2 linked regions of the Ovis aries genome follow. The protein of the gene in region 1 interacts with the protein of each later gene in a pairwise test. Links are inferred from orthologs where the notes say so. Each region holds a gene or a part of one and is shown on either strand. Other genes may lie near its edges. The genes, in order: GRAMD1C and CD151.

Region 1 (4,320 bases):
TCGAAGATTTGAAGGAACAAGCCCTTGCCACGCAATTCCCTTTTTTGCACTCTGGAGCATGGTATGTACGGTAAGAAGTAGAGTGGAGGCTTTGGGAGAAGTGACTTGTGCTAGAAGCCACGTCATAGCAGGCACAGGCGTTTGAGGTTGAGAGCTAGGTATGGACAGGGACTCATCCTGATTCCTAGGAAATACAGGCATGCTTAGTTGCTCAGTCCTGTCTGACTCTTTGTGACCCCATGGACTGTAGCCCACCAGGCTGCTCTATGCATGGGATTTCCCAGTTAAGAATACTGGAGTGGGTTGCTATTTCCTACGCCAGGGGATCTTCCCAACCCAGGGATCAAATCCTGGTTTCCTGCTTGGCAGGTGGATTCCTTACCACTGTAACCACCTGGAAAGCAATAAATAAACCATTCAAACATTAAAAAAAATTACATCTCTTCTTTAATGCAGCCACCAACTTCCGGCTTTAGTTGTCCTTGAGGTTGCCACCAACAGTGACCCTGGGGGAGGGTCCAAAACACTGCATTCATTTCCAGAACTAGGATGCTTCTGAAGTAAGGCTTTCTCATGGAATAAAGTGTTCAGTGTCACAAAACGGTGAATTGCCCTGACACACTTGAGTTGCAGTGACTCACAGATGACAGTGAGTCCATACTGTGAAGTGAGGTAGTGACACGCAGCAACAGACAGTCCAGTGTCCTGGACCTCGCATGGATTTGCCTCCAAAGAAACAGCGTCTCCAGATCCAGTTCCCGTGAGCGCGTGGCCACCAAAAACCTTTCTGAGTTAACCCTTGATTCTCATACACGAGTTGGTAAACCAGTTTGGAAGAGGTCATCTCTCCCAAGCCAACTAGAATCTTCTTCCAAATGTCTCTGACGCGTCCCTACTGGGCACCTGTCAACACACTTTGAAGTCCTCTTGGGTATTTTTGTGGAAGAGAAACCACAGCTATGGTGTTTCTCAGCCACGCTTGGCAGAGTTTACGCCACCGTCACGCTCAAGACACCCAAACGTTGACTCAGCCTGCAGCCCAACAACAGTACATCCTGAGGGACGGGGTTGGGGTGGAGGCTGGGAGTCCTGAGCGGCCTCCAGAGGGCGCCAGACGCGCCGAGGAGACCCAATGTGCCCCTTGGAGAGCCGGCATACGGGACTCCCGGGGCCGGGATCCCAGAGCGCGCGCCGGGAGAGGGCTTGGGGCGCGCGCCTGGCCGCCTCGTCCCCGCGGCGGGGCGCGCGTGCGCGGTACTCGGCGGCGGAGGGATCCGCGATGGAAGGCGTCCTGACTCTCTGCCAGGTAAGCGGCGCTGTTCAGGGACGAGCTCCCAAGCGAGGGCTTTACCCGGCAGTTCTCTTTGCGAAGGTTGTTAGAACCCTCTCAGATTTTGAACATTATTTCCTCTTTTTCCCTTTCTTTTTCTTGTTGCTCATTGGAGTAATTTGCAAAGTTGTCACCGAGGAAACGGTTTCCTGTGCTTCCCGGAGCCTTTCCTTCTGGGCAATGGGGGAGGTCTGCTTTTCTGGGGGGAAGACTGGCTTCTCGGGGGCGTGGAGTGTGGCATTGGGTCCTGAAATGTCCTAGTCCAAACCTCAGGCCCCCCTGTCGTGATTCTGATCCGGTATCAGGTTGATCCAGCCTCACGCCGTTCCCTTAACTCTCAGCTCTTGATTAAAGGGCTCAGAACTCTAGATAGTTTAAATCACTCTGTGGTGTGAACCACGTTTTCAGTTTCAACTGCCTTGGTTATTTGTTTACTGCCTTATCTGATTAACGGAAGGACTTGCCGAATTTAAGGGTGAAAGCCCACTTTTGTTGCAGGAGTACTTGCATTTCTGAACACTGTCCTCCGCTTTTACGCTGGTTGTGTGTATGTATGTATTTTACTTTAGGAGAATCGTAGTTAGGGCAATAATACCTTTTAATCGAGAGCATTTTACAGTTTACAAAACGGTAGAGGCATTCAAATAATTGTTGGATGAATAAATGAGTGGACTTGGTATTTCAACTGATTCTCAGAACCTTACGGTGAAATGGACCAGGTTAGATATTCATGAGCCCAAGCAGTCATTCATTAAACTATGTTCCAGGCACTGCGTGTTTGGCATAAATGGTGAGCAACACAGACATGATCCCTGTTCTCAATGAGCTTATTCTCTAGACTACAGAGAGTTGTTGCCCCGACTGTAGAATGGAGAAAGCAGATTTAGAGAAGTTGGGTGAAAGTGAAAGTGTTAGTCGTTCAGTCGTGAGCGAATAACTGCGATCCCATGGACTGTAGCCGGCCAGGCTCCTCTGTCCATGGGATTTCACGGGCAAGAATACTGGAGTGGATTGCCGTGTCTTACTCCAGGGGATCCTCCCGACCCAGGGATCAAACCGGGGTCTCTTGCATTGCAGGCAGTTTCTTTACCATCCGAACCACCAGGGAAGCTTAGGTTAACTGACTGCCAATGACCTTGCAGCTGATTCCTTAGAGAGAGAAGATTATCTTGTGGCCAGTAAAGCCAGAATGGACTCCTACTGAACATTTGATTTGGAGATGGAAACTGATGAACACACACACACACACACACACACACACACACCCCATGAAGAGGTTTATTACTTATATATAAAGGCTTATTACTTAGTGAAGTACAGTACATAGCAAAGAGGGAAGAACAGGACAGTCTTCTTAAGCAGATCCAAAGTGACTTGGAAGGACAAGGGAATGAGGCTGGTTCTGGGCTTTTGCGGCAGTTAGGGGGTGGGGTCAAGGGTTCCTGCCTGTGCACAGATTGTTGCTTTGTTTGACTCTGGCATCCACACCAAATGAAAGGGCACCCAGACTTTTTTTTTAACCAACTTGCCCGTTTGAGAGACAGGGAGGAAGAAGGAGGGGTAAGGTTTAAAACCGTCTTCAGGCAAATATGAAAAAATTGAATGAGACTCATTATAATTTACACTTGATGTCTGACTGATGACTGAAATGTACCATTTTTCACTTAGTTGAATTTTGAACTTAAGTAAGCCATCCTGGCTCTTGTATGAGGCCTAGAGACAGAAGTCAGTAAGGAAAATAAAAGTGCCATTGAATACCTTGTTCAGGAGTCCAATCATGTGTATTTTGAGGAATAAAATGAGTACTTTGGCCACTGTTAGGAATGTCTGGAACTCTTGGTGGGGATAAAGAGTGTTCTGGTGAGGCCTTTTATTGTGGCTTTAGTATATGTATTGACACTTGTGACCTTGGTTTATATTTTGAGTACTGAAAACAAGAGAGTTCCAGAGGTCTTTATTCCAAATGGTGCCACTGTTAAGCATGGCCCCAGAGTCTGTAAAAATGTGGAGATAAAGCCAGGTGTTGGCCAGAGCATTCAGGGTTAAGATAACTGTGGGCAGTTCAGTGCAGTGGTCTCCAGTGAGCTCCAGCATGTGGAGGGGTATTGATGCTGTCCACCAAACAACGGGTTTGTCCATCAGACTAATAATAGGAGTTTAAAGTGTCGAGCGCCTACTGCTTTTCACTCAGTTGAATCCAAATTGGTCTGCAGGTATTCAAAGGGTGTGAGAGAGGGGTGACTTCTTCTTGTCCCATGACTAATGACAAAGGAGTGAGAACAGGGGAGGCCATGCCCACCCGTAGGTGGGATATGTTGGAAGGCCCAGATTTGATTCTGTCCTGCAACAAGGAGACCTTGGTGGCTGTGCTGGGCTCGCAAGGTCCTGCTGCCAGGATGGGCAGCTGGGTGTGGAGGGTAGGCTCAGAGCTTAAGAGCCTCTGCTTCCAAGGGGTCCAGTGTGCTGTCAGTCGTTGCTGTTCAAATGATATATTGTGTAGGAGTAAGGAGATAATTTGTTGCATTAGAAACCTGTGGACAACTTAGAGGCATTATGAGTGGTTCAGAGACTCCGGGAATCATGAAGAGAGGCTGCTAAAGGATCTGCAGTGAAGGATTCTTTGTGTGTCTGTGTATGTGCTTGTGTGTGTCTTTGGGGGAGAAAGTAGCACTACTGGGAGTGTCTGTTATATTATAATTTTGACAACTCTCAGAATCCTTTTTGGGAGAGAGCCCTGTTCAGGGTGGACTGACCTGCAAATAACAGCATAAACAGGCTTAAGTAGAATTTGTGAACAACTAATACATCACCTCCCGAATCCAAAAGGACCTGAACGATGTTGGATTTGTATTTTTTTTTAATTTAACTTATTTTATTCAAGTATACTTGATTTACAGTGTTGTGTTAGCTTCTGCTGTACAGCAAAGTGATTCAGTTACACATTTTTTAATGCTCTTTTTCCATTATGATTTATCACAGGATATTGAATA
Region 2 (4,562 bases), on another chromosome or scaffold:
TCCACCTGTGGCCCCGCCTCCATCTCCAGGCTCAGCACCGCAGCCTGTATGTCTTGGTCCTTCCTAGCCTACATGCGTGTGTACCCTTACATGGCAGGTCTTCACGTGCGTGCCCTGCCTGTGCGTGTGGCCCAGTGCGTGGGTGTCCGTGTCCCTATGTGTATGTGTACGTCTCCTGCACGCTCATGTCCAGCTCACTGCACGTGTGTCCCTGCACGTCCACGTCCTCGGGTGGCCTGTCCCAGCCCTCACCTGCTGGTAGTAGACGTAGGCCAGGACCCCCGCAATGATCTCCAGCAGAAAGATGATAAGGAGCAGGCCGAAGTACTGGGGGGAGGAGCAGGGGCTCAGTCAGGTGGGCTGGGACACAGATGCCCCCATTCCATGAGGACGCCCAGCACCAGGCATGGCAGAGCAGAGCCACTGCCCTCAGCTGCCAAGTGGCCACACGATGGGGGCCCCCGGCAGCAGGTGAGGGCTGGAGGACCCCGGCCTCCCAGTGCTCCTCAGCCGTCTTCCCTCTGCTGGCCCAGCCGGGATACGGGGACCCACAGGTGGGCAGGGAGCCCCTCCCAGGTGAGCACAGCAGAGTCTGTCTGTCCTGCAGTCTCACCCATGTCTCCCTTCTAAGCCCTCCTAACCCAGAACCACCCCAGGCAGCCTGGCAGGGAGCCCCACCCCCACCCGCGGTGCGGCCAGCCCCGCTGACCAGACGCAGCAGGTTCCTCCGCTCCTTGAAGGTGGCACAGCAGCCCAGCGCCCCGGTCACCATGACGACAACGCCCGCCACCACCAGGATGTAGGCTGTGGCCAGGTAGGTGCCCGAGGCCAGCAGGCTGATGTAGTCGCTCTTGAGGGCCAGCGTCCAGATGCCCACGGCCATGACGGCCAGGCCAGCCAGCTGCGGGCAGTGCACACCGGTCACCACACCCGGCCCCGGGCCTGGACCCCTGGCCAGGCTCCTCCGAGGTCGGGGAAGGGGGTGCCCACTGCTCACCCAGAAGCAGCAGTTGAAGGTGAAGAGCAGGTACTTGAGGCAGACGGTGCCACATGCTGCCGACTTCTCCCCAAACTCACCCATCCTGGGGCCGGGAGGTGGGGGAGGGGCTGCCCGGGAGGACGGCCAAACGCCAGCGGGGAGAGGAGCGGGGGACACACGTCCAGACCAGGTTGGGGCCAAGCCAACCCCCTGCCTGGGTGAAGGTTCTGGGAGCGCCTGTGGGGGAGGGCTGCTCGGAAGCCCCCGCCACCACTGCGGCAAGGGCAGACATGGTGCCCACAGCCCAACTGGAGCCTGGGGGGCCCGGCTCCCCTGACCAGCGCCCAGGGCATGGCGGGGGAGGCATGGAGGACCCCCAGCCACCACCACGGGCTGACTCAGCCCTGCAGGCAGCTCAGGTGAGCTCACACAGGCCCCTCACCCCACCCCACCCCAAACATTCCCTGTGCCCCACGTCACAGGTTGGCAGGATCCTACCGGCTGCTGGGGGGGCAGGGGCGGCAGAAGCTGCTCAAAGGTAGACTGATCTGTGCTTTTCTAGCTTAGTCCTGTGGCCTTGGAGAAGGCCCTCAGGCCTCATAAAGGGCCGGCCTGCCTTCCTTCCAGCCAGAGCTGGCAGGCGCCACCCCCAGACCTGGGGGTCCCTCCTGAATGGGGATAGCCACGCTGACCCAGGGGGAAATGAAGCTCCAGCCTGTGCCCCTCCCCAGAGCCACCCCACCCTCTCGTTTCTGGGTGTCTGCATGAGCGGGGTGGGGACACAGAGGGCAGAGGAGCCCTGGGGCCCTGTTTCCAGACAGACAGGGTGCCTCCCGGAGCCGGACTCCTAGCTGCTGCCCTAGCACTCACCTGGCTGGTGGGAGGGCTCCTCTGTAGGGCAGGCAGGCAGAAGTTCCCACCTGAGGAGGCTTCACTAGAGGGCCAGGGACAGGCCACAGGTCAGGCTCAACCTGGATGGGCAGGATCCCACCATCCCTCCTTGTAGCTGACCCAGGTACTGGCCGCGAGCTGGCCTTCCAAAGCCCCGCCCCCCGCGCTCGGAGAAGGGAGCGGCCAGGCCCGGTGTTTTGGCCTCGGCTAGGGCGGGGCAGGGCAGAAGACATTTCTGGACAGTCCGATTCCGGGGGGAACCGCACGCCTCCTCCAAGCCCCCTAGTCTGAGCCTTGGCACCTGGCCTGTAACTGGCCCTTCCCCCACCAAGCGGCAGTAGCTGCTGCTGGGGAAGAAGAAACGGTGCAGAACGCCCCGCGCCGGCGGACCTGGGCCTGTCCTGGGGTCTGGGTCCGGGGAAGGCTGTTTCCAGGCACAGGCTCCACCCGCACGGCCCGCCCTCGGGCGAGAAAGGCTGAGGAGCCGGCCGCCTTTCCGGGAGTGCCCGGAGGAGGTGAGCCCCCAGGGAAGGGCCGGCCAGAAATAGTTCCCGCGGCCCTGGACGCTGCCGCCCCGCCCCCGGCTCCCGAAGCCCAGCCGGGCCTGTCAGCGGCCCACGCCCCAAGGTGGGGGGACTCCCAGCTCGGCTCCCGGCAGGCCGGTGAGGAATTCGCGCGTCACCGCGATGAAGTCACCGCCGCCGCCACCCCCACGCCCTGGCGGGGCGCGCGGCCCGCCCACTGGCACCGGCGGAGAGGAGGGCACCGGTGTTCGCGCAGTGCGTGGGGTGCTCGGGAGGAGCCCCCGGCTCGAGGGGGCCGCAAGGACCGTCCGGAGACCAGGGAGGCACCTTGCCCTCGCCCGGCGGACCCTCGGCCCGCCGGGCCTCCGGGCACTCGTCTACCCCCGGTGGGAGCCTGCGGGGTCGCCGGGCGCGCAGCTTCTCCCGGTCGTCGGTGCCCGGCGGTGCACTCACCGGCCACGCGTCGGAGTCCGGCGGGCGGCGGGGGCGGCGGCGGCGGCTCGGAGGGCACAGAAGACACAGCCGGCCCGGGCCTGCGAGCGAGACGCGCGGGGCCGCCCCGGGCCCCGCCCCGAGCCCGCAGGCCCCGCCCCGGCCGGCGACGCAGGCGGGTCCCGACGGCGCTCGGCGCGCGCGGGCGGGGCACCAGCCCCGGCGGCCGCCTGGGGGCCACGCGAGGAGGCCGAGGCCAGGCGGGCTGCGGCCCGAGGGCGCCCGCTCGGGACGAGCGGCGGGGCGGGGCTGCGGGGGTCCCCGGGACAGACGCGGGCCGGCCCGGGGGACGGCCTAGAGGCGCGGTCAGGGGCAGAGAGGGGCCTCTCTGGGCGCCCTGCGGAGGACGGCTTGCAGGGGAGGCTCGGGTCACGGCGTGAGAGGGTCCAGACAGGAGGGTGTCGCCTGGGAGTGGTGGGAAAAGGTTCGGGAACGAGGGCAGAGGCTGCGACCGGCTGCGCTGGGGAGCTAGAGCCGAGCGCCCGACGGCTCGAGGCGGCGCCGTCGGTGGGGACAGCTCTCCCGGGACGGTGGGCCGCCCTCGTCCCCTGCTCCCTGCCCGAGGCTCGGGCTGGCAGGGCAGAGGGCACTGGCGACAGCTCAGGCCCACCCCTGGTGCCTCCACTCAGGACTCCAGTGGGCTGAACTAGCCCCCCCAGGGCTGTGTGAGGACTGGCATGGGGAGGGGTGGAGGCTGGGGGCGGTCAGGGAAGCCCGCCCACCGCTTCCTGGCCTACTGGCCTCAGTGCCTTGGTCCCTACAACTCTGGCGGACGGCTTGTGGACATGTCCAGTGGACACACAAGGGCGAGGGACGCCTGGTCCAAATGCTACGGCTCCCACACGCCAAGGAGGATGAAGTCAGTGAACTTTATTCAGAGGAAGGGGTTTTCCGGTAGTTTCGATGCGCTGGGCATAGAATGAGGACCGCAGCGAGAGACATGAGTCCCTGACCCCCCAGGTTAGTTCCTTCATGTCTGCAAGTCAGGCAGGCCGGGCAGCTCACTGGGGAGAGCCCACATCCTGGATAGGCAGCCCCCGGCGACGCCGAGTCGCCTTCAAGGGGCGGCTTCTCTGAGCAGCCAGGTGAGGCCCAGTGAGTCACTCGGGCTAGTCAGCGGCCACTGGGCAGGTGGCCGGAGCCGCGTCTGGGGGGGCGAGCCCAGCTACTGCAACAGCAGCAGCAGGGGGCGCCCAGCAGGGGGGCGGAGCTCAGAGCCTTCCTGCGGCCGCTGCCCAGCCGCTGGGCCTCACAGACGTCCCTCTCGTCTCGGAGCCGCGTGTTCAGCTCCCTGGGGAATAGCAGCCCACAGGCTCTGAGGGGTCTCAAGAGGAGGCACGCCTGGGTGGGGAACGCGGGCACGGAAGGGCTTCCTCGCGGTGTGGGGGGGCGGTGATGGGGGCTGGGTAGAAACCGGCGGCGCGGACCCCTTCCAGACGCACCTGAGGAGCTCCAGTTGCCGCAGGAGGCTGAGCTTCTCTTTCTGCATGTTCCTCGAGACCGCGACCACGTCTCTGCAGGACGGAGGTGGTGATCCGGGTGCAGGAAGGCGCCTCGGGGTGCCGCACGGCCCCCTGGAGGACCCCCCCCCCCGCCCCGCCACGGAGACCCCAGAGGCGGGGCTGCAGCCGGGGGCGACTGCAGCCCGGAGCTCCAGGTGCGCCCCTCCCCGGGGC

The links.
Region 2: the proteins of GRAMD1C (region 1) and CD151 interact in binary tests that used the Homo sapiens proteins (3 or more experiments, as listed by UniProt). The link is inferred for Ovis aries from reciprocal best matches to the Homo sapiens genes GRAMD1C and CD151.

The regions. Positions count from the first base shown.
Region 1 is NC_056054.1:179,455,709-179,460,028, forward strand, and holds the start of GRAMD1C (protein Aster-C), read left to right. Parts: upstream 1-1,253; 5' UTR 1,254-1,306; intron 1,307-4,320. UniProt on the Homo sapiens protein: Cholesterol transporter that mediates non-vesicular transport of cholesterol from the plasma membrane (PM) to the endoplasmic reticulum (ER).
Region 2 is NC_056074.1:46,921,579-46,926,140, forward strand, and holds the start of CD151 (CD151 antigen), read right to left. Parts: upstream 2,941-4,562; 5' UTR 2,848-2,940; intron 2,535-2,847; exon of another isoform or gene 2,261-2,534; intron 1,951-2,260; 5' UTR 1,850-1,950; intron 1,217-1,849; 5' UTR 1,082-1,216; coding exon 998-1,081; intron 902-997; coding exon 710-901; intron 328-709; coding exon 253-327; intron 1-252. Other genes in the region: CRACR2B (EF-hand calcium-binding domain-containing protein 4A), read right to left, coding at 4,136-4,400. UniProt on the Homo sapiens protein: Structural component of specialized membrane microdomains known as tetraspanin-enriched microdomains (TERMs), which act as platforms for receptor clustering and signaling.